5 linked regions of the Xenopus tropicalis genome follow. The protein of the gene in region 1 interacts with the protein of each later gene in a pairwise test. Links are inferred from orthologs where the notes say so. Each region holds a gene or a part of one and is shown in the gene's direction. Other genes may lie near its edges. The genes, in order: eef1a1, lamtor5, ikbkg, hspe1 and gadd45g.

Evidence for each region.
Region 2: the proteins of eef1a1 (region 1) and lamtor5 interact in a two-hybrid assay, tested with the Homo sapiens proteins (2 studies listed by BioGRID and IntAct). The link is inferred for Xenopus tropicalis from reciprocal best matches to the Homo sapiens genes EEF1A1 and LAMTOR5.
Region 3: the proteins of eef1a1 (region 1) and ikbkg interact in a two-hybrid assay, tested with the Homo sapiens proteins (2 studies listed by BioGRID and IntAct, with this or other methods). The link is inferred for Xenopus tropicalis from reciprocal best matches to the Homo sapiens genes EEF1A1 and IKBKG.
Region 4: the proteins of eef1a1 (region 1) and hspe1 interact in a two-hybrid assay, tested with the Homo sapiens proteins (2 studies listed by BioGRID and IntAct, with this or other methods). The link is inferred for Xenopus tropicalis from reciprocal best matches to the Homo sapiens genes EEF1A1 and HSPE1.
Region 5: the proteins of eef1a1 (region 1) and gadd45g interact in a two-hybrid assay, tested with the Homo sapiens proteins (2 studies listed by BioGRID and IntAct). The link is inferred for Xenopus tropicalis from reciprocal best matches to the Homo sapiens genes EEF1A1 and GADD45G.

The regions. Positions count from the first base shown.
Region 1 is NC_030681.2:91,801,415-91,805,388, forward strand, and holds the start of eef1a1 (elongation factor 1-alpha 1), read left to right. Parts: upstream 1-1,164; 5' UTR 1,165-1,194; coding exon 1,195-1,338; intron 1,339-1,610; coding exon 1,611-1,790; intron 1,791-1,893; coding exon 1,894-2,190; intron 2,191-2,287; coding exon 2,288-2,438; intron 2,439-2,888; coding exon 2,889-3,145; intron 3,146-3,262; coding exon 3,263-3,497; intron 3,498-3,586; coding exon 3,587-3,711; 3' UTR 3,712-3,974. UniProt on the Homo sapiens protein: Translation elongation factor that catalyzes the GTP-dependent binding of aminoacyl-tRNA (aa-tRNA) to the A-site of ribosomes during the elongation phase of protein synthesis.
Region 2 is NC_030678.2:72,306,205-72,310,206, reverse strand, and holds the start of lamtor5 (ragulator complex protein LAMTOR5), read left to right. Parts: upstream 1-1,189; 5' UTR 1,190-1,281; coding exon 1,282-1,316; intron 1,317-1,668; exon of another isoform or gene 1,669-1,836; intron 1,837-1,866; exon of another isoform or gene 1,867-1,907; coding exon of another isoform or gene 1,908-1,939; intron 1,940-3,349; coding exon 3,350-3,411; intron 3,412-4,002. UniProt on the Homo sapiens protein: As part of the Ragulator complex it is involved in amino acid sensing and activation of mTORC1, a signaling complex promoting cell growth in response to growth factors, energy levels, and amino acids.
Region 3 is NC_030684.2:25,692,633-25,696,145, forward strand, and holds part of ikbkg (NF-kappa-B essential modulator), read left to right. Parts: intron 1-877; coding exon 878-991; intron 992-1,233; coding exon 1,234-1,295; intron 1,296-1,376; coding exon 1,377-1,430; intron 1,431-1,922; coding exon 1,923-2,046; intron 2,047-2,627; coding exon 2,628-2,746; intron 2,747-3,347; coding exon 3,348-3,488; intron 3,489-3,513. UniProt on the Homo sapiens protein: Regulatory subunit of the IKK core complex which phosphorylates inhibitors of NF-kappa-B thus leading to the dissociation of the inhibitor/NF-kappa-B complex and ultimately the degradation of the inhibitor.
Region 4 is NC_030685.2:46,535,975-46,540,063, forward strand, and holds the start of hspe1 (10 kDa heat shock protein, mitochondrial), read left to right. Parts: upstream 1-1,279; 5' UTR 1,280-1,339; coding exon 1,340-1,342; intron 1,343-1,419; exon of another isoform or gene 1,420-1,474; coding exon of another isoform or gene 1,475-1,492; intron 1,493-4,089. UniProt on the Homo sapiens protein: Co-chaperonin implicated in mitochondrial protein import and macromolecular assembly. Together with Hsp60, facilitates the correct folding of imported proteins.
Region 5 is NC_030677.2:138,047,701-138,051,597, forward strand, and holds gadd45g (growth arrest and DNA damage-inducible protein GADD45 gamma), read left to right. Parts: upstream 1-1,482; 5' UTR 1,483-1,592; coding exon 1,593-1,645; intron 1,646-2,058; coding exon 2,059-2,160; intron 2,161-2,299; coding exon 2,300-2,513; intron 2,514-2,630; coding exon 2,631-2,741; 3' UTR 2,742-3,397; downstream 3,398-3,897. UniProt on the Homo sapiens protein: Involved in the regulation of growth and apoptosis. Mediates activation of stress-responsive MTK1/MEKK4 MAPKKK.

The DNA.
Region 1 (3,974 bases):
GTGTGCTGTGTTCTGTTCCGTTGTTATTGTAGATAAATAGGTTTCCTCTGCCGTAGTTTATTTAACTTTTATGGAACCACGCGTGCATTTGTTACGGAGTTGCTTGGGGCCGTGGTCTCTTTCAGCTGTGTATTAGCGTATTTCTGGCAATTAGTGTTACCGTATTGTTACACTAGATATCTTGGCGGGAAGGGAACATGGGTGCTTAAAGTGGGCGCAAAATGAAGAACGGTGCCAAAGCAAGGCTTGCGGCCTAGTCCCAATCTGCGCTGCATCCTCTCCTATGTAAGCCATCCGCCTCCTCTCAATATATACTTGGCTTTAGGCGGATGTGGTTAATATTGCCGGTGCTGTATTATTCCAGACGGTAAATGCTTAAGGCTCGACAAGTGAACGTGGTTTGGGGAAGGAGCGAGAGAGCTGTGCGGATGGGTGGCGGCGCGCCTACATGGGATTCATTGTACGTAGTGCAGTTTAGACTGGTCAGGCGAACATAGTGTTTGTGGTGCCTGTAAGCGCTGAACTATAGCAGGACTGGGGCTATTGCCAGTGTCAGGGCCCGGCTGGCACAATGGCGCTAGTGCTGACGTGTATCACCCTCTCTCCCAGGCAGGCTCGGCGTGGCCGGTGTATCCGAGCCAGTGGGGGCGGCTTCACTCACTAAATGGCCGGCGTGCTACGGGTTACTGCTGGCCCTGCTTGAACGCGGGATAGCAGCTGCTTACTTATTGGGTTAAATGTTCTGTGTGGGCTCTGCTCTTTTCTATAGAAATGAAACGTATCTAAACCATTAGTCCTGTTTAGCGTTGCGTTCCCCCATCTGGTTGTTCCATAAAGATGGCGGCGGCTCTCAGCTGAAGGATTTTTTTTTCTCCACAAGATGGAGGCTGAGTCACAAGTGAGGAGACAAAAGAGCTGGGAGCGCTGCATGCAGGGCCTGACTCATACACCAGGGGGAGTACAGGCCTCGCTCTTGCCTTCTTCCTTTTATGTAATGAGGGATTTCAGGGTTTTTTTTCCAACTAGATATCTGTGCAAAGTTCTTGAATTGTGGGTGGGGCTGCTTGTGTCTCCAGCCCTTGGAACTGCTGAGTAATGCCTGCCATGGCTTGCTTTGATGTGACCTATATTTTTAGCTTTTTTTTTTTTTTTGATGTTTTTTAGTGTCCACCGCCAAACATCTAACAATCCACAATGGGAAAGGAAAAGACTCACATCAACATCGTCGTCATTGGACACGTAGATTCTGGAAAGTCCACAACAACTGGACATCTTATCTACAAATGTGGTGGTATCGACAAGAGAACCATCGAAAAGTTCGAGAAGGAAGCTGCTGAGGTAAATTTTGTTAACAATCGCACTTCTTGTGGTATTGCAGCAGTCTCACCCCCCCCCCCCCTTACTAAATATTTAGTCCTGCACATGTTTGTTTAGACAAGTCTTGCCTGTGCACTAATGTGTACTTGTATTTGGTTTGTATTAATAGCCACCTGCCTTGGGTGTTTGTGATAGTAGGGGGAGTATAAACATTGCAGTGTGTCAGGTCATTCTTGGCAGAAGCCTTGTAAGGGGTTTTTAATCATGTCATTGCTGAACTTTTCACCTAACAGATGGGCAAGGGCTCCTTCAAGTACGCCTGGGTCTTGGACAAACTGAAGGCCGAGCGTGAACGTGGTATCACCATTGACATCTCCCTGTGGAAATTTGAGACCAGCAAATATTATGTTACTATCATTGATGCTCCAGGACACAGAGACTTCATCAAGAACATGATCACTGGTACCTCTCAGGTAGGTTTTAAGTCCCAAGCAGCTTTGCTATTTATATCTAAAGTAGGTGAGGCAGGCTTGCTGTTAAGTGCACATGAGTAAAAATGTATGTTTTCTCTTGTAGGCTGACTGTGCTGTCCTGATTGTTGCTGCTGGTGTTGGTGAATTTGAAGCTGGTATCTCAAAGAACGGACAAACTCGTGAGCATGCCCTCCTTGCCTACACTCTGGGAGTAAAGCAACTGATCGTTGGTGTTAACAAAATGGATTCAACTGAACCCCCATACAGCCAGAAAAGATATGAGGAAATCGTTAAGGAAGTCAGCACATACATCAAGAAGATTGGTTACAACCCTGATACTGTTGCCTTTGTACCTATTTCTGGATGGAACGGTGACAACATGCTTGAGCCCAGCGCCAATGTAAGTACTGTGGCAGTTCACTTAAATGTCTACAGCCTGGCATACTCTCTGGTTAGTGTAACAGTATTTTGATGTATACAAATCTTGTTTTTTCTAGATGCCTTGGTTTAAGGGGTGGAAAATCTCACGTAAAGAGGGATCTGGCAGCGGAACTACCCTGCTGGAAGCTCTTGACTGCATTTTGCCACCAAGTCGCCCAACTGATAAGCCTCTGCGTCTGCCTCTGCAGGATGTCTACAAAATTGGCGGTAAGTAACACTTTTCCTATGTGTATGCTGGAATGTTGTTCGTGCTTTAGGTTTACTGGCCTACATGGTTTGTGGGGGAAACCAAGTTAAAAATCGTGCATCTGTTTAAAAAAACTTAGCAGCCTTTTTTTTTTTTTTTTTTTTTTGTACAGGTTAACTGCTTGTCTGAAATAATCCCTCCCCCCCCAACTGCAGTAACAAATTTGAAGTTCACCAGGCATGGATGTCCCTAGTTAACAGCTTTGATATATTACGTTACTGCTTTTTTAATGTCTAGTGAATAAAATATTGGCAGCAAAGAGCTCATAAATCTAATTTTAGCTTAGACACTCTAAACAAGTCTCCAGAAGGAAGACTAGTAATTGCCAACATGTACGTTTAGGCCTTGTTTTGGCAGTGCTGGGATTTAGTATGTTAAAGTATTCACACTAAAATGGCTGTTTCTTTCAGGTATTGGTACTGTACCAGTTGGTCGTGTGGAGACTGGTGTCCTTAAGCCAGGCATGGTGGTTACTTTTGCCCCTGTTAATGTAACAACTGAAGTTAAATCTGTTGAAATGCACCATGAAGCCCTTAGCGAGGCCATGCCCGGTGACAATGTTGGCTTTAACGTGAAAAACGTTTCTGTGAAGGACGTCCGTCGTGGCAACGTTGCTGGTGACAGCAAGAATGACCCACCAATGGAAGCTGGTACCTTTACAGCACAGGTATGCAAGATGGCTTATGGCTAAAGGAAGTGATATGGCTTTCCATAGCTGGCTATGGGGGCATTTAAATCGCTTTGCATAACTCTAAGATTGTTTTCTAAATGTCTGACTTAATAGGTTATCATCCTGAACCACCCAGGCCAGATTGGTGCTGGATATGCCCCTGTGTTGGATTGCCACACAGCTCACATTGCTTGCAAGTTTGCTGAGCTGAAGGAAAAGATTGATCGCCGTTCTGGTAAGAAACTGGAAGACAATCCCAAGTTCCTGAAGTCTGGTGATGCTGCCATTGTTGACATGATCCCAGGAAAGCCTATGTGCGTGGAGAGCTTCTCTGACTACCCCCCTCTTGGTAAGTCTTTTTCAAAATAACCTTTTTGCAGTCTTGTAAAATGCTACCCAGTAGGCCCTTAAGCTAATTATCCATTTATTTTTTTCAAGGTCGTTTTGCTGTCCGTGACATGAGGCAGACTGTTGCTGTAGGAGTCATCAAGGCGGTCGATAAGAAGGCTGCTGGAGCTGGCAAAGTCACAAAGTCTGCTCAGAAAGCACAGAAAGGCAAATGAATATTTCCAGCATCTCTCACCTCAGTCATAACCAGTGGTGGAGGATTGGTCTCAGAACTCTTTCTATCAATTGGCCATCAGAGTTTAATAGTCAAAGACTGGTTAATGATTACAATGCATCGCAAAAGCTTCAGAAGGAAAAAAATGCTCGTGGACACATTTGTTTGTGGCAGTTTTTAAGTTATTAGTGTTTTAAATCCAGTAATTTCTAAATGGAAGCAACTTGACCAAAATCTGTCACCAAATTGAGACCATTAAAAAAA
Region 2 (4,002 bases), on another chromosome or scaffold:
CAACTGAATTTTTTAACCTGCCGATCTATATCTGGCAATTTTAGGCCAGCTATCAGTCGGGCAGGCAGTCGTTGCTGCCCCTACACGGGCCGATAAGCTGCCGAATCAGTCCAAGGGACCAATATCCGGCAGCTACAATCAGCCTGTGTATGGCCACCTTTAGTGTTCAAGAGAGAGATAAGCTTGTAGCAGCCTAGAGTATTGTAGTGTTTTACCCTATTACAGCGTGACTGCAATGTGAGCTTATGTAAAGAATGTAACTGTATCTGTGTTTTCCCATATGCTAGTATAGGATGGGTTTTCTCGTAAAATATTGAAAAATCTTGACACTAAGCCGTTTGGGCCCATACCCTTAACTGTGGGAGCATCCTGTTAGAATAAATGCATGCTACTCTATGCAAGGGCACCCTCTCCTGTTTTTTATTGAACAGTCTGGCAAAAACCACCATTTGTGCCGAGTGGCACAAGAATTGAAAGTGAATAGTGATCATTTTTATATGACCCGGACATAAGTCCAATAGCATAACTCTTAGTTTCTCATTCAAAAGACCACTTCTGTCAAGCTTCTGGTTGCACTCTGCACCCTAGGCCTAATAAACAATCCAGCATGAGGTGAGGAATAACATGCAAGTTAAGGATTGGGCAGGTAGTAGTAGGGGGAATTTACATCTGTCCTTGCCCCAGTAGAGCTTTCAGTTCTTACCACATTCACAAACTCTGTGGTTATGTTTATCAATAGCCACTTAACTTAACTAAGGTGAACAAACCCTTTAATATATATTTTAGAAATATTTTATTTCCTTTGATTGAAGCCCACCACATCCATTTGGGAGAAGAAACAACGTCATGTGCAGTAACAAATCTAGAGCTCCATGGAACTGGGTGTAAAATTCACTCTGGACATTAACCCACGTGACACCCAAAGTCAGTTAACCCTCTGTAAACACTAAATTGCAAAAGGAAGTCAAGAAACCAAAATGGACAAGAATCCTACTGTCAGGCCAGTAAAAACAGTAATCAAGAAACCTATTCTCAGAGTATGTTAGCTTTGTATGAAGCATTGTGCATTGTAGCGGAACCACCATTAAGCCAAAGCATATTAATAGTATTTTTCATTCATTGATTTTTCTTAATAGCGCCAGAGCTTCAAATACTGCAAACGAAAACTCCCATTAGCCCCACCTTCTGTCTAACAGTCAGCTGACCGGGAGGGTCACATGAGCAAACACCCGGAAGAGGAACTGCTTTAAGGTTTTTTTGACAGGAAGAAGAGACTCAGCTATGGAAGCGGCTCTGGAGCAGCATTTGGAAGATACGTGAGTGCTCTGTAAACACATACTAAGGAAAATAAAATTAATTGGTTTTTTTCAATTAGTAAAATCAGGACATTTAAAGCGAAAGAACAGAAATAATTCAAACAGACAGAAATGCACTTCAGAACTTGAATTTCGTAACGTGTCTTTAAGTTTGCTGGTAATAGTTCAGATTCTCTTATTTTTAATCATTCCTACATGCGTGATCTCACTCAGGAGAGGAAATCGTGGGGGGAGGAAGCGGTGAACACTGTCACTGTTCATTCGGAGACTGGGGCATCTGGGGGAGGGGGTATAAGCATAAGTGTGAGCTATTAGTTACACAAGGTAACGACCATGTTGTTGCTGTTAGGCGGGTAGGCAGTTGAAGAGGGGATGTAAATTCGGATGCACAGATTAATTGCAAGGAAGTTGTTGGAGGGGTTTACTCGAAAAGCAGAGGAGGCCTTGGAGTTTTTGTTAGGAGGAAGCAGTGCAATATCAGGCATGGAGGTTTGGGGAGTCATGAGTTAACTGCATGTAAATCCTTATTGGGGGTGAGAAGGCTCATGAAACTGTGTAGGTGAATTGGGTGGCAGAGGTGGCCATGCAGTTATGTGTAAGGAAATGGCACAAGTGGCTGGCAGGTAGGTTATGTGAGGAGGATGATGGAGTGGAGTTGTGTAGGTGGGCAAAGTGGCATAACTGAAAGGGATGGGGGCTGTGCATGTTTTGATGGAGTCAGGCATACTGGCTCTTGTGTGGAGCTGAAACGTCGGATTAATAAAAACCATGTAAGATATTGCTAAAAAACTTTTTTGGTGAATATTAACCAAAGTCCTGTGAGTGCTAACCTTTATTGCAATTGTGTGTATATATATATATATATATATATCTGTATTCATTGGTGCGTGCATAGGTGCTCATATATACATGCGTATGTGTGTATGAAAGTGCTTATATATGTGCACATATAGACACATATATAAGTAAATATTTAGGTGCACATGTGTATATATGTGCATCAATATGTGTGTAATTGTATGTGTATATGTGCAACAACACGTGTGTACATATAGGTCTGTAAATAAGTGTATATATAGATGTGTGTTTGTGTCCAAGCAGACACACAACCATGTGGCTTCCTTGTTTGACTCTACACCTGGAATTTTACTTAACAAATACATTCATGGTCTTGATCCTCTGCTAGTGAGTATTTTCTAGTGCATGATCTGTATAGAGGTGTTTAATAAACGGGTTGCACAGATCGATCTGCCCACAGTGCGATCACATATTATTGATTCCTTAACCAAGATTCAACTTTATTTAAACACTTGATTATATTTCTGACTATTTTACTCTAATATTCTGACTTTCACGGTACATCCCTGACATCTAGCTTCATAAAAAGTGTTACTCTTCTTAGACCTTGTGGTTATTCTCTTGTACTTTCTATTTTGTCCATTTAGTATTCTTTTTTTATTGCCTGTCTATATAATTTTTGTTATTATTTATTTTTGATATAATTTTGATCTCTGTCTGGTAACGTAGGATTACGTCATCTCCACTTTTTCCCACCACTGTGTGCTTTTTAGACACTGAGTTTGTTGTATTCACCACTTTGATAAAGGCTAGAGTGCTAGCCGAAATTTTAGTCTCCTATATAATAAAACAACAAGTCCTGCGAGTACTGACACTTCCTCCAGTATATTCAATAATTTTTGGACCTGAGTGAGTGAGTGCCGGCATCTATTTGGAAGTATATATATATTTCTGAGAAAAGTTGTGTTGTTTAATACTGACACAAGAAACATCAGAGACTGACTAATTGTCTAAACTTTGCAACATCATCTTTCTTTTCCCCTGACTATAAGGACAAAATGGCAGCTATGGCCACTCTATCACTTTTTAAATTTGTTTGGTTAATCTATAATAATCTATATCTATAATATCCTATGAACTAGTAGAGATGATATAGCTGAAATAGCTTTCAGATAGGTAACCAGTATTTGTTTGGTATCTTGACACAAGTGTTTTGCCGTTCCTTACTTTTTCAGAATGAAAAATCCATCAATTGTTGGAGTTCTGTGTACAGATTCACAGGGGCTAAGTCTGGGATGTGAGTACCCTTTTACATTGGTTTTGTGTATAATATTGAAAATTGATGTAAATTGCAAAAGTACTCTGAGGAACACTCTGAGTAAGGTTAACAAATTCATTTTTAGGCTTAATTCAAATAAACAGCTGTGGAAATCCTTCCCAGAAGAGTAGAGGCTATTATAGCAGCAAACGGAGGAACAGCTTTATATTAATTACGTTGCTCTGAGAATTACCTTTGACCATTTGGTGTAGCTGCTGAACTTCCAATATTTGTCTTATGTGAAGGCTCCCTCTCCCTTTTATGGAGATTGCTATCTGTTACTCTGCAGCCAAAGTAATCTGTGAAAGAGTCAGTAGAAACAAACAGACTCTTGCATGGGGGTACTGACCCCTTTGGTAAACCCTGTTAAGTAACACAATAGGTTTTTAATCCATTGGTCACCTGGGCTGAAGGCACCATGGCCTGCACACACACAACCATGCCCCTGATCCCCTCATCATGCTTCATTAGTCCAAAACCCTGCCTACTCCATGCAAGCCCCACCCTACTTGTGTTTTTAATTCTCTTGGGGCCCCTGACAGCAGCAGACAATATATGCCAAAAGCCAAG
Region 3 (3,513 bases), on another chromosome or scaffold:
CCTGAAGCTTCGATCTAGGGCTAAAGTGGCAGAATGTATGGAGGAGGATCAAGCTACAGTATAGCAGCCGCTGAAGGCAGGCAGTAGACTGGCCAGTAACTTCCTGGCTACCCTGCCGATGGCCTGGGTTGCACATTAAAATCTTTTATGGTGCAATATAGGGTTGGCCTTTTCTATGTGCACAGCTGCCCCCGCCCGGGGGTTAGAAGTTTCCCTAGCAACATAAAGTTGCCACAGAGAGAAATACTCAGAAATTTCTAGTTACACCGCTGCATTACCTTGTCCTGCTAGACCCATAGATTCTCATGCCAGCTAGACTCATAATGCACTGGGAGAGTGAAGGAAGATTGCATAACAGTACTCTGATGGAAAGTTCCCTGGGCTAGTGTGTTTTTTTTTTTTTTTTTTTTTTTTTTTAAGAAGTGGAGCACTGGCCTGGGGTAGAAAGGAAGAGACTTTAGTCATCAGGCACCAACCACCCCCCCCCCCCCCACACCCTTTTTATCTATTGGGCATTCTCTTGTTACTTTCTATAGCAGTGATTTCCCAACCAGTGGCTCACAAGCAACAAAACCGCCAAACAGAGCCTCCTGTAGGCTGCCAGTTTGCATAGGGGATACCACTAGACAATCACAACCCATGTTTGGTACCCCTGGAACTTTTTGCTTGCATGTGTTGCTCTCCAGCTTTTGTAACATTAGAATGTTGCTCACTGGTGAAAAAAGTTGGGGACCCCGATCTATAGGATTTCTCCCTTTGCATTTGGATCCATCCGAGACAGCTAGGCTCATCACATACTCTGCCCAGTTAGAAAGTTTGCTCTGCCTGACTCCTCGGCTTGGCCCCTGTGTGACTGCTCCGCTGTGTCTGTCGTTAGGATTACGCCACCCCAGGGAGCTCTTTGTCCTCATGTGAAACACTGACCCACAGTATCTGTGAAACAATCAGGCAGACTGTGCCAGATGAAGAGGGGCCATCCCGAAACAAGCAGGTGAGATACACAGACCTCTGATCACTTCTATTTTCCCGCCCTGCATTTGTTCAAGTACAGGGATTAAGGTGATGGTCCTGATTGGTTGACAAGTAGAGGCCTGTTGTACTTTGATTTAATTGGTGTCCTGCAGTTAAAATCATGAAAACACATTTTTTTTTTATAAGAGCCCCATCATTGTTTAACAACTTTCCAGAGACCTGGTCCCATGGTTTATCATTATTCTCTTTCACTTTCTACAGAAAGAAAATGGCAACAAGGAAGTTTGTATGGAAAATGAAATCATGCAAGGAACTGTGGACCGGTGAGCCTGACGTAAAAAATGTAACAAGTTGCTATGTGTATGAACTGGCAAAGCAGTTTATAAATTGTGTGTTTATTCCAGGAACTCTAGAACTGAGCAGGAATTCCAGAAGAAACTGCAGGACGCTGAAGCCAGGTGGGTAGCTACATGTAGTTACATAGGGTTGAAAAAAGACCAGGGTCCATCAAGTTCAACCCTTCTAAGTAAACCCAGCAACACACAAACCCATACTGACCTGTCTTTATACTCGCATACATAAACCATATATACCAACATAAATACTAACTGTAGATATTAGTATCACAATAGCCTTGGGTACTATGCTTGTCCAAGAACTCATCCAGGCCCCTCTTAAAAGCATTAACAGAATCTGCCATTACCACATCTGTAGGAAGGGCATTCCCCAACCTCACTGCCCTCAGCATGAAAAACCACCTACTGTGCCTCTGGTGCACTGATGGTTTTTATGGGAAAAAGAACATTACCTATCTGCCTGTAATCCCCTCTAATGTACTTGTACAGAGTAATCATATCCCCTCGCAAGCGCCTTTTTCCATGTATAATATAAGGGACATCGTACACTGGTTTGCTCACAGGCTGCACTGTAAATATATCTTCCCAATGCAGGAATACTCAGTTTCTGCGTCAGATTGCAGATCTACAAGAGGAAGTATCTAAGCTTAGGCGCCAGGTGGTTGAAAAAGGAGAGGAATCTCAAAAGCAACTGCAAAGTTTGCAACTGCAGATGGAGGTGAGAATTCTACAGTGTTATTCAGGCCTAAACAGGCAATCTGTGGATTCAGGCAAATGCCAGAGGGGCTGCTGTAAGATGCCATAGACATTCACTATTTATTGGGCCTGGGGGGGCTGTTTGGGTCTCTGTGTACTTTAAATTCCAGGGCCTATTTTGAACCCCAGTCTGGGCCTGGTGGTATTACAGTCATGATATATGTACAGGTACCATGTGAGAATAATATAATGGGTTATACTGTTTCAAAGATGTTACGATGAAACTATTACAACTGTAAATGATTAATTTATTTTTGTTTGAACCTAATTTGGGTCCCCTGAGAAAAAGAATAAGAAACACTGGTTTAGGGACATGATCTGCAGCCAGAATGATGAAAAAAAATAATTTGTTTTTATATATGGTTGTCCAGCTGGCATTCCATGGGCCAGCTGCAAGTTTCCAAGGTATTTTTTGCCCCCCAGCCTCATAAACATCAGTATCAGATCCTCTGCTCTATATACAGTATTAGGATTGATATAATTATGTTATAGGTAAATGTCATATTAAGCAGAATTAACAATATCTTGGTTTTGATCTTGCAGCAACTGTCTGAGGAGAGGAATTCAGTAAAAGCCCAGGTGACCTCTCTATTGGGGGAGCTGAAAGAGAGTCAGACAAGTCTGGAGATCTGCCTGCAGGAAAAGAGAAAGGTAGAGGACAGGTTAGTACCCCATGGGAAACAGTGATGGATGCCTGCGTTGGTCACCCAGGAGAAGAGGATGGGTCAAAAAATCTAGGGCAATGTCTTTTGAAAGTATAAGTAAAACTTTTAAAATTAGTTGATGTAAAAATGATGAGATGAATTTTGTAATTTACATGTTATTTTTTTCCCAATATATTGAGGGTTAAAAGTACTGTTAATATGAATGCAGTTTTTAAACAGCACCACCTGCTGGTCACTTTCCAAACATGAAGTAGTTTTAGTGCTTAGAATAGCATTCTCATCAAATTTACATCAACTTATTTAAAAGGTTTACTTATCCGTTAAACTGTTGCTCATGCGTACTTGAGCCGGACTTGATTCAACCCTGTGGCACTGACCATTCATGCCTCTTGGTTGGCCCTCTCTATGGTGCCATTTCTGTCTCATGCTGAGAAGGCACTGTAACCAGAAAAAGGTGTCACTGTCCCTTTAAATTTAGCAGTGCTGTGCAGGTTACCCTGGTGCATAATGTGAGAATGGTTTGCTCCATAGGAGATGTGATTGGTCTATACTCTTGGAAACAGCTTGTGTGTGCCAAGTGTTTGATTTCTCTTTGCAGCCTCCGTAGTGCCCTGGAGGAGAAAAAGGGCTGGGAAGCCCAAGTGAAGCAACAGGTTGTGCAGCTTGATCAGCGAATGATGCAAGTACAGAATTTGGAAACAGCGTTAAAAATGGAAAGACAAAATGCCACAGACGAGAAGTAAGAGTCAGGATTGTTAGCTATT
Region 4 (4,089 bases), on another chromosome or scaffold:
GAATTAAAGAATGCCCTAAAAATGGGAGAGAAGTTCCCCTTAATTACTTTAAACTTGGGATGATGACATAACAAAGACCTGACATGCAGGTATCTGAAAGGGCATAATACACAAGGTCATAATATGAATGAACTTCACAGAACTACAACCAATTTTTTTTTTAGTACTGAATTGCAATACATAGTGGAGTATTGCAATACATATAAAAACAGTCAGAAAAGTGACACTCATAATTGCATATTACGCTGCTCACACTGGGGACCTAGTTTAACAAATGAATCTGCTTTGCTACACTAACAATGGTTAAACCACTCACGTATGTTGTATTATTTACTGTAGGCAGAATCTTATTCTACGGGAACAGACTGAATAATTGTATGTACCAACCCATGATTTAGATTTTAGAATAAGACTCGTCCTTTACAAATCACTGCAATACACGCGTTCGGCACCAATATAATTGCTTATAAACAAATATAAGCTTATAATAACATATAAACTTGTAATCTCATTTTTATTGCTGTATGTGAAATGTAAAAAAAAAATTCATATTGAAAACCAATTTAACTTGAGAATTCACAATGTTTCATTGCTCTAACGGCTAGCTGCAAGAAATGACAGTTAATTCTTGCAATTTACACTCAAAGCCCAATTGTGAAAGAAGAATGACACAAAAAGAAGCCGGTCCAGCAACTCACCTGAGCAGGCAAAGCGAAGAGCAACTTACTGTACAAGCACACACGTGTCTGCAGCCGAATGGAATTGTCAGACCTACAGCACAAGCTCTAAACCTCCTCTGGGAATGACGTGCCTCAGCCTTCCGGAAGCTTTAACTACCACGGGCTAAGCATGAACGAATAACACGGCTGAATAAAAGAACCCCCCTTGGCATTTATTACAACTGAACAAGTTGCTCCTCCTATTACGTATGAGCTTGCACAACGACCTAAGCATATGCCGATATACTAGTTCCTGGGCCGCCTTTCCAGAACGTTCTGGAATAGCTTCGCTTTCCAAGGTTCGAGGTGACATTGACAGATAACCCGGATGCAAAAAACTAAAGTTCAAAGCTCATCAGCCTTGGGCTGATGAGTTTTGAACTAGTCGTTAATATTCGTTTTAATACAAAGCGGACTATATAGTGTTGAAAAAATATACAACATATGGTTAGTGCAATTCTATTTTACACCTGATTGTGTGTTTTTACGCTCGTCCCTTAATTCTACTGCGCATGTGCAAAGCTTGCCTTCTATTCACGTGGTTGTAGGTCAAGTGTCCCAGTCTGCGCTAGGAGCTTGTAGAGTTGGTTGCTGCTTTGCACATCAAGTCTTGCTTAACTATGGTGAGTGCTGCGTTTAACCGTTAGGTATGCCTGACTATCGCATGATGTGCCAGTTTTTGTTATTTATATAGTTAATTCGTATATTTGCGTTGTTGCTGCTGTACATTCACCAGTAATATGTAAGGTAGAAGAATGATGTCCTGCGTACAAGTAAGTGGGGATTATAATTGAAATACATATTGTAAAAAGTTAAACTATGCAAGCTTGCATGATGTTTAAGACACGCTTTTTATTTTATTTTTCAAGTGTTATGGCTAAAATGAGCAGCACTATAAATTAAAGAATAGTCGCAAGTCATAGATTCAGTGTTCTGTGGATTTAGGGTTGATCAAGATTCTTTATAGATTGTGTTGCATGGGTTTTATGTAATAATTAGTTTTATAAGGTTTGTTAACTGTCCACTTTAGACGTCCTATTTACCTGCTTTTCTCTACATTTTTGTTTCATGCTTTTGGGATAGCTCATACACTGTTCATTGGATGAGGATCACACTTCAGCTTTTCTTTAAACTTACTGCACCTGGTCATGTACAACCTGCACATATAAAGAATGGGCAGCAATACAGTTTAGGGTTCTGCTGCTCAGAATAGTTGTCCAGATTAGGAAAGGCATTGTCTGTCAGTAGTTGACGCTCTGGCCTTTAAGGTTAGTACCACACTTGGTTGCATTTATACACAGGCAGAGTATCAGCTGATCCACTTGCTCCTGTGTATACACTGAAAGACACTGCTTCAGCCTGAGTGCAGTGGATTTTGGTGCAGGAATGGTAACTCATGCATTTTCAAGTAAAATTCCACCCCCATGTCTGCACCAAGGCTGATTCGGTGCCTTGTAGTGAACAGAGACCAGTCACAATTATATCCATTGGTGAAGGGAGATTGTGGTTTATACATAGTTGATGTCCATCAAGTTCAACCTTTTATGCCCATATAACCTGCCTAACTGCTGGTTGATCCAGAGGAAGGCAAATAATCTCTTCTGAAGCCTCTCCAATTTAGCACAGAGGGTGAAAAAATCTTACCTGACTCCAAGACTGCAATCGGATCAGTACCTTGATCAATTTGTACTATGAACTATCTTTCATGACCCTGTATTGCCACACTTGCTAAAAAGCCATCCAACCCTTTCCTGAAGCTATCTAATGTATTAGCCAGTTTGACTGATTCAGGGAGAGAATTCCACAACTTTACAGCTCTGAACAGGACCTCCTTTCTTTTAGTCTGAATGGGTGCACTCGTGTCTGCAGAAAGGGCATGGGCCTACTGGTAAATAAAGCATCTATCTATACCCCATTCAATACAGCTCAAAACCTTTTTGCCCTTGCAGCTGCTGCCTGGCATTGTTTGCTACAGCCAAGTTTATTATCTACATGGTCCTTCTCCATTATGGATTTGCCTAGTCCAGTCCCATTAAGGGTATAAGTGGCTTGTATATTTTTACATCCCAGGTGCATGACATTACAATTATTGACATTAAATCTCATCTGCCACATAGCCACCCGGGTTGCTAGTTTGTCACAATCCTTCTGCTAGGATGCCACATCCTGGATAGAATTCATTGGGCTACTGGGAGTTTTGTGTCAACTGAAAACACTGATACATTCCTTATAATACCCTCCCCTGAGTAATCAATAAACACATTAAATAAAAGTGGAACCAATACAGAACCCTCATATGATTTGATACAATAAAAATCCCCAGGTACTACAAATTAGAATGCAGTGTGGTCAACAAGGTCAGAAAAGCATATTACTACTTAACATGGTGACATAAAATCAAATAGGACAAATGTCCCCAATCAGACTAAGTAAATTAACAAACCATGGTGTAAAACAACAAAACTCATGGGGGGCAAATTCATTAAACCACAATTTTTTTGTGGTTAAAATCACGATATGCAAATAATTTGGAGTAACTACAGTAATTTCTGATGTTTGGAAATGTCACAAATTCAAATCAGTCGTAGGAAAATATTGTGGTTGCGTACTTGTATCCTTTTGAGATACAAGCGATCGATTCTGCAACTTTCTTTTCTCTTCCTTGATTGAGATTCCCTTTGAAGTTCAGTGTCCTTCTTGCGTATGATTTATTGGCAGCCCCTTCAATGCTTAACTGTTAGACAGGGGTCAAGGGTGTTTAACGCTCACACAGCTACATATTTGTTCTGGAATTGCTGTCCCTCAGGACCAGGTTAGTATGAAGGCCAGGGGCCTCTGAACTTCAAGGGGGATTGTAATCAAGGGAGAGAAAAGAAAGCTGCAGAAACAAACGCTTTTACATCCGAGCAAGTATCACATTTTTTAACAGACATATATTACAAAGTGTAGTGCTAAGAATCTATATGTGTATTTTAAAAAATGACTTTACATCCTCTTTAAAATTTCTCCGCAAAGTGAAAACATCCTGCATGAAACCAATAGTTTTCCACAGTTTAACACCAGCAAAACAGTGGTTGTTTTTAGAGTGACATCTTTAAGGTCATTTATAAACAAATGAGGGTCAAAGACCAAGGATAAACATTGTTCCAACTAGAAAATGTTCCATTTATCACTATTCTTTAACCATTTATATGCCACAGAATGTAGAATCTGCATTCTGTGGATAAAAGTATTTAAGTGCCACTGATCATAGATTCTACGTTCTACTACACTTGCAGATCTAGGAGAGGGTAGCAGGCTGCAAGATCTGTTTGGAGGAGGAGGAAGGTCAAAGGGATGAAGAGGAAGGGGCCCAAGGGCCTGCTCGATC
Region 5 (3,897 bases), on another chromosome or scaffold:
GAGACGGGTGGCCCAGATTTATATAATAAGCCATAAGTAGCAGTGGGTGCCAGTGTGCAAGAGTTGGCTTCCTTTCCTGACTGCTCCTCTGTCTGGAACTGCAGCTACAGCCGTGTGCATTCCACCCTGTCTAGTCCTGTCTGCTCCCATTCTCCATGTGTCTGAATGAGTTCAGTAACGATGTTGCAATGCAGCCCCCCGAGATTAATATGGTACTGTAAGGATACACACTGCCTGCCTGCCCCACTTGCACAGGGGGTTAGTGTGGAGCCAGGAAAGTGCAGTAAGGATCAGAGATAACAGTGGGGTATAGAAAGCAATAACCATTGCAGAGACCCCTATGAAGTTAAAGGGGACAGAAGACTAATTCACTAACAAGAAGCTGCGCATACTGCAAGCTGTGCACAGGGCTAAAGGCATTAGGCACCGTGCAGAAAGGGTTAAAGTAAGCCTTGCATCCCCCAAAAAGCAATCAGAGCCTGGAAGCGTGCTGGGGGGGTTGCTGCGATGTGGAACAGATTGTCAGATCCATTTGTGTCCCACTTTCCTCTACAGGACCCCACCCCAGCGGCAGGTGGACTCTGTCCCTAGTAAGGAGAAGAAGGGAGCGATTGTCTGATCTGCAAACTGCCACACGCCAGCCCCTCTCCCCATTGTGAGCCCCTCTATACAAATGCTAACGAGCAGCGTGTGCCATTCGCAATCTGCCGCAAACACAGCCCCCATTATCTGTATACAGGGCCTCGTCCTTCCCCCACGTTAGCAGGGTCATTAAAATCGCCTTTATTGCATTAATAGCAGCAGGCCAGATGTCTGCTTAAAGTAAGGGTTATCAGATCTTCCCTGCTAATGAGCATAATATCCCTGCCCAGCACACCTGTATGGAGCACCCTGCCACAGGGCCCACCTGTCCAGCACTGCCATGGTTAATGGAGCCCATGAGTTGTAGCCCTGTGCCCAGATGATGCTTGCTGCCCCTGCACACACAGCTCATGAGCAAGCCAATAAATAGTCAGTGTTCCCAGAACAGCAGAAACAAATCAATGTGTTGCCGTTGGTGCATTTGTGACACACAGTGCAAAGATCTGAAGTTTTAAGGATCTTTTTGATGTTCTCTCCCATTTCGTGCAAAGCCCAAATCATAAGACCCCCATTCTGCCTGGCAACAGCATGACAAAGGGCAGCAGGCAGACTTTGAGTCATTGTAAAAGAAAAAAAAAAACCCAGTGCGCCCACCGGCCGGCCATTCTACTGAGCCCCCCCCCTCCTTTCTACTGCCCCCCCCTCCTTTCTACTGCCCCCCTTCCCCTCGTCTCCTCCCCCACGTGGCCTTCTGGCACGCGTTCTGTTGCTCTATTAGCATTACAATGCCTCCCCCGCCCGGCCAATCAGAGCAAAGGAGTGAGACCAGACCCCGCCTACGCCTCTCAGCGCATAAATACCGGCTCAGTCGCTCCGTTTCCTCACACTTCGCTTGGGATTCTAACTGCTCTGAAGCTACTGTGGATATTATACTCTTCTTCTTCCGGACCCTTTGGTGGATATTTGAGAAGTCTCTCGCACTCACATTTTTGTGGCTTACCCGGAAAATCATGACTCTGGAAGAAGTTCACGGACAAGAAACCGTTGTTGAAAGCGCTGACAGGTAATTTCAGAATACCAATTCCGCCTTCTTTTATTCTAAGGGATCTACCGCCTGCCTATCCGGGATTCTGGGATTTGTAGTTCAACCCCAGCTCTGCAGGAGGGTCGTAGTAGAGTAAAGCGTTTGTAAGGGAGAAATGACCGCAGAAATAAGCGCTATGATCCAGGGGTGCAGAGATTTGGACTCACTGGTTGCATATAGCCAAAGTGCAATATTATTGATCATATTGGGAAGTAGCTGCAGCTCTATGTGCAGTTAGCAGATGGGGGAACATGAGTGGGTGGCATTAGCTAAAGCTCCTTTTATGGAGTGTGGGGATTTCTGCCATAGCATCCAGTCTTGCAGTTATATGGAAAGAAATATTCAGTTATGATCTGGCTCTAAATGCATTTCTTTTTATTTGTCTTGTGTAGGATGCAAACTGCTGGCAAAGCCCTGCATGAACTATTGGTCTCTGCCCAGAGAGAGGAGTGTCTGACCGTTGGAGTCTATGAGTCTGCCAAAGTAATGAATGTGTAAGTATCCCACTCCTTTGCACTGATCCCACACACACCCTTTACTCATGCATGCATGTAACACAGCCCACACACAGTCCCACTTGAGGCTTGCTGGCAGCAGAACTAATGTTCTCTTTTTTTTAATTTGATTTTACAGAGATCCAGATAGTGTCACTTTCTGCATCTTGGCTGCAGACGAGTACGACGAGGGTGATATAGCCCTTCAGATCCACTTCACTCTGATTCAAGCTTTCTGCTGTGAAAATGACATCAATATCGTGAGGCTGAATGACACAGAAAAAGTAGCTCAAATTCTAGGCTTAACAGATGAGTCTGCAGAGCCCAAGGACCTGCACTGCATCCTTATTACGGTAAGTGTCATGTTCCTGCTTATCGGCAATGTTTTGGCTTTGTGCCCATGGCTGTGACTTGTGCAATTTCTTGTAAGCACAGTGTTCTCATAGTCTCTGTTCCTCTTCTTTTCTCAGAATCCAAATGAGGATGCCTGGAAAGATCCAGCCCTGGAGAAACTGGGTATATTCTGTGATGAAAGCCGTAAAGTCTACGACTGGGTTCCCAGTATCACCCTGCCAGAGTGAACATCTTTTCTCTACATTAGATTGTAAAATCTCTGCATTATTATCATGGTGTTGTGCACCTGGATGGACCAGCAGCATTCCGAAGTCTGTGGATTACGCTGGTTGAGGTCAGATTAAGTCGCCAAGACTGGCAAAGATGTTGGCTCTTGTGGAGCAGAAGAGTAAGGAGGAAAACTTAACATGGACTGATCTGTAAAAGGAAGGGTTGGTGCCAGTTTGAAGCCTCCCAAAGCACTGGGGGGGGGGCAGTCATGCCATGGAGCTGGAGGAGTTTTGCATGTGCTAAAAGCAAAAATGGAAGCTTTTAAGATGGATATGAGGCAAATTAAGCAGCTGGTTAAAGGAAAGAACCTGTTCTGTATCTGCTTTTGGAGTTTGCTGAGATATGAAACATGAACTTTATATACACATTGGAAGAGTCTGGGACTATATAGCTCTGGATTGCAAACTGAGACTGAATTCTGTTCATTGCAGCTTGTTATTGGTTATTACAGTCTACTACTACAGTCTACTACCCAGAATACATAGTAAAAAAAAAAAAAGACTTTCTGTATTTTCAACATTTTGACACTGTTGCAAATTGAAGTGCTTTTCTTGATGAAACTTGGCATTTAAAATGTTGTTTTCTGTCATTCAATAAATCATTTTAAATCTCACTTTAATTTGTTTTGGTTTTTATGCTTATCTGGTAGGGTGTTTATACCTGCGGCCCAGCGCTTGAGCTACCTACATTTTCTAAATGAACAAAATAATAAGCATCCCCCAAAACAACCAAACAAAAAAAGCTATAGTCTTGTAATAGCTGTTGGTTCACAGTTTGGGCCCCTATTGTTTGGGCATGTGTAGAAATGCAGTCTGTTTTACCCCACTACATTGGCTATTCAGAAAGCTGCCAATGTGCTGTAGTCATCCCTTTTGTTAGCAGTGCACAATAAGATTTGCATAGAAGGGGGCTGTGTTGCTTGGTATAATCCATAGTCTGCAGCAGGCAGCTAATGCTTTCTATTGAGCCCTGACCATTTGACCTGCTGCTCCTTCAGCGACAGCTGCTTATCACAAGAGCGTGCAAGGTCTATGGGCTGCATGCCTAATGAGTGCATTAGAGTGACAGGGGGCTGCTGCATAGATAGATTTTTGTTACTGCACAGACAGAAAA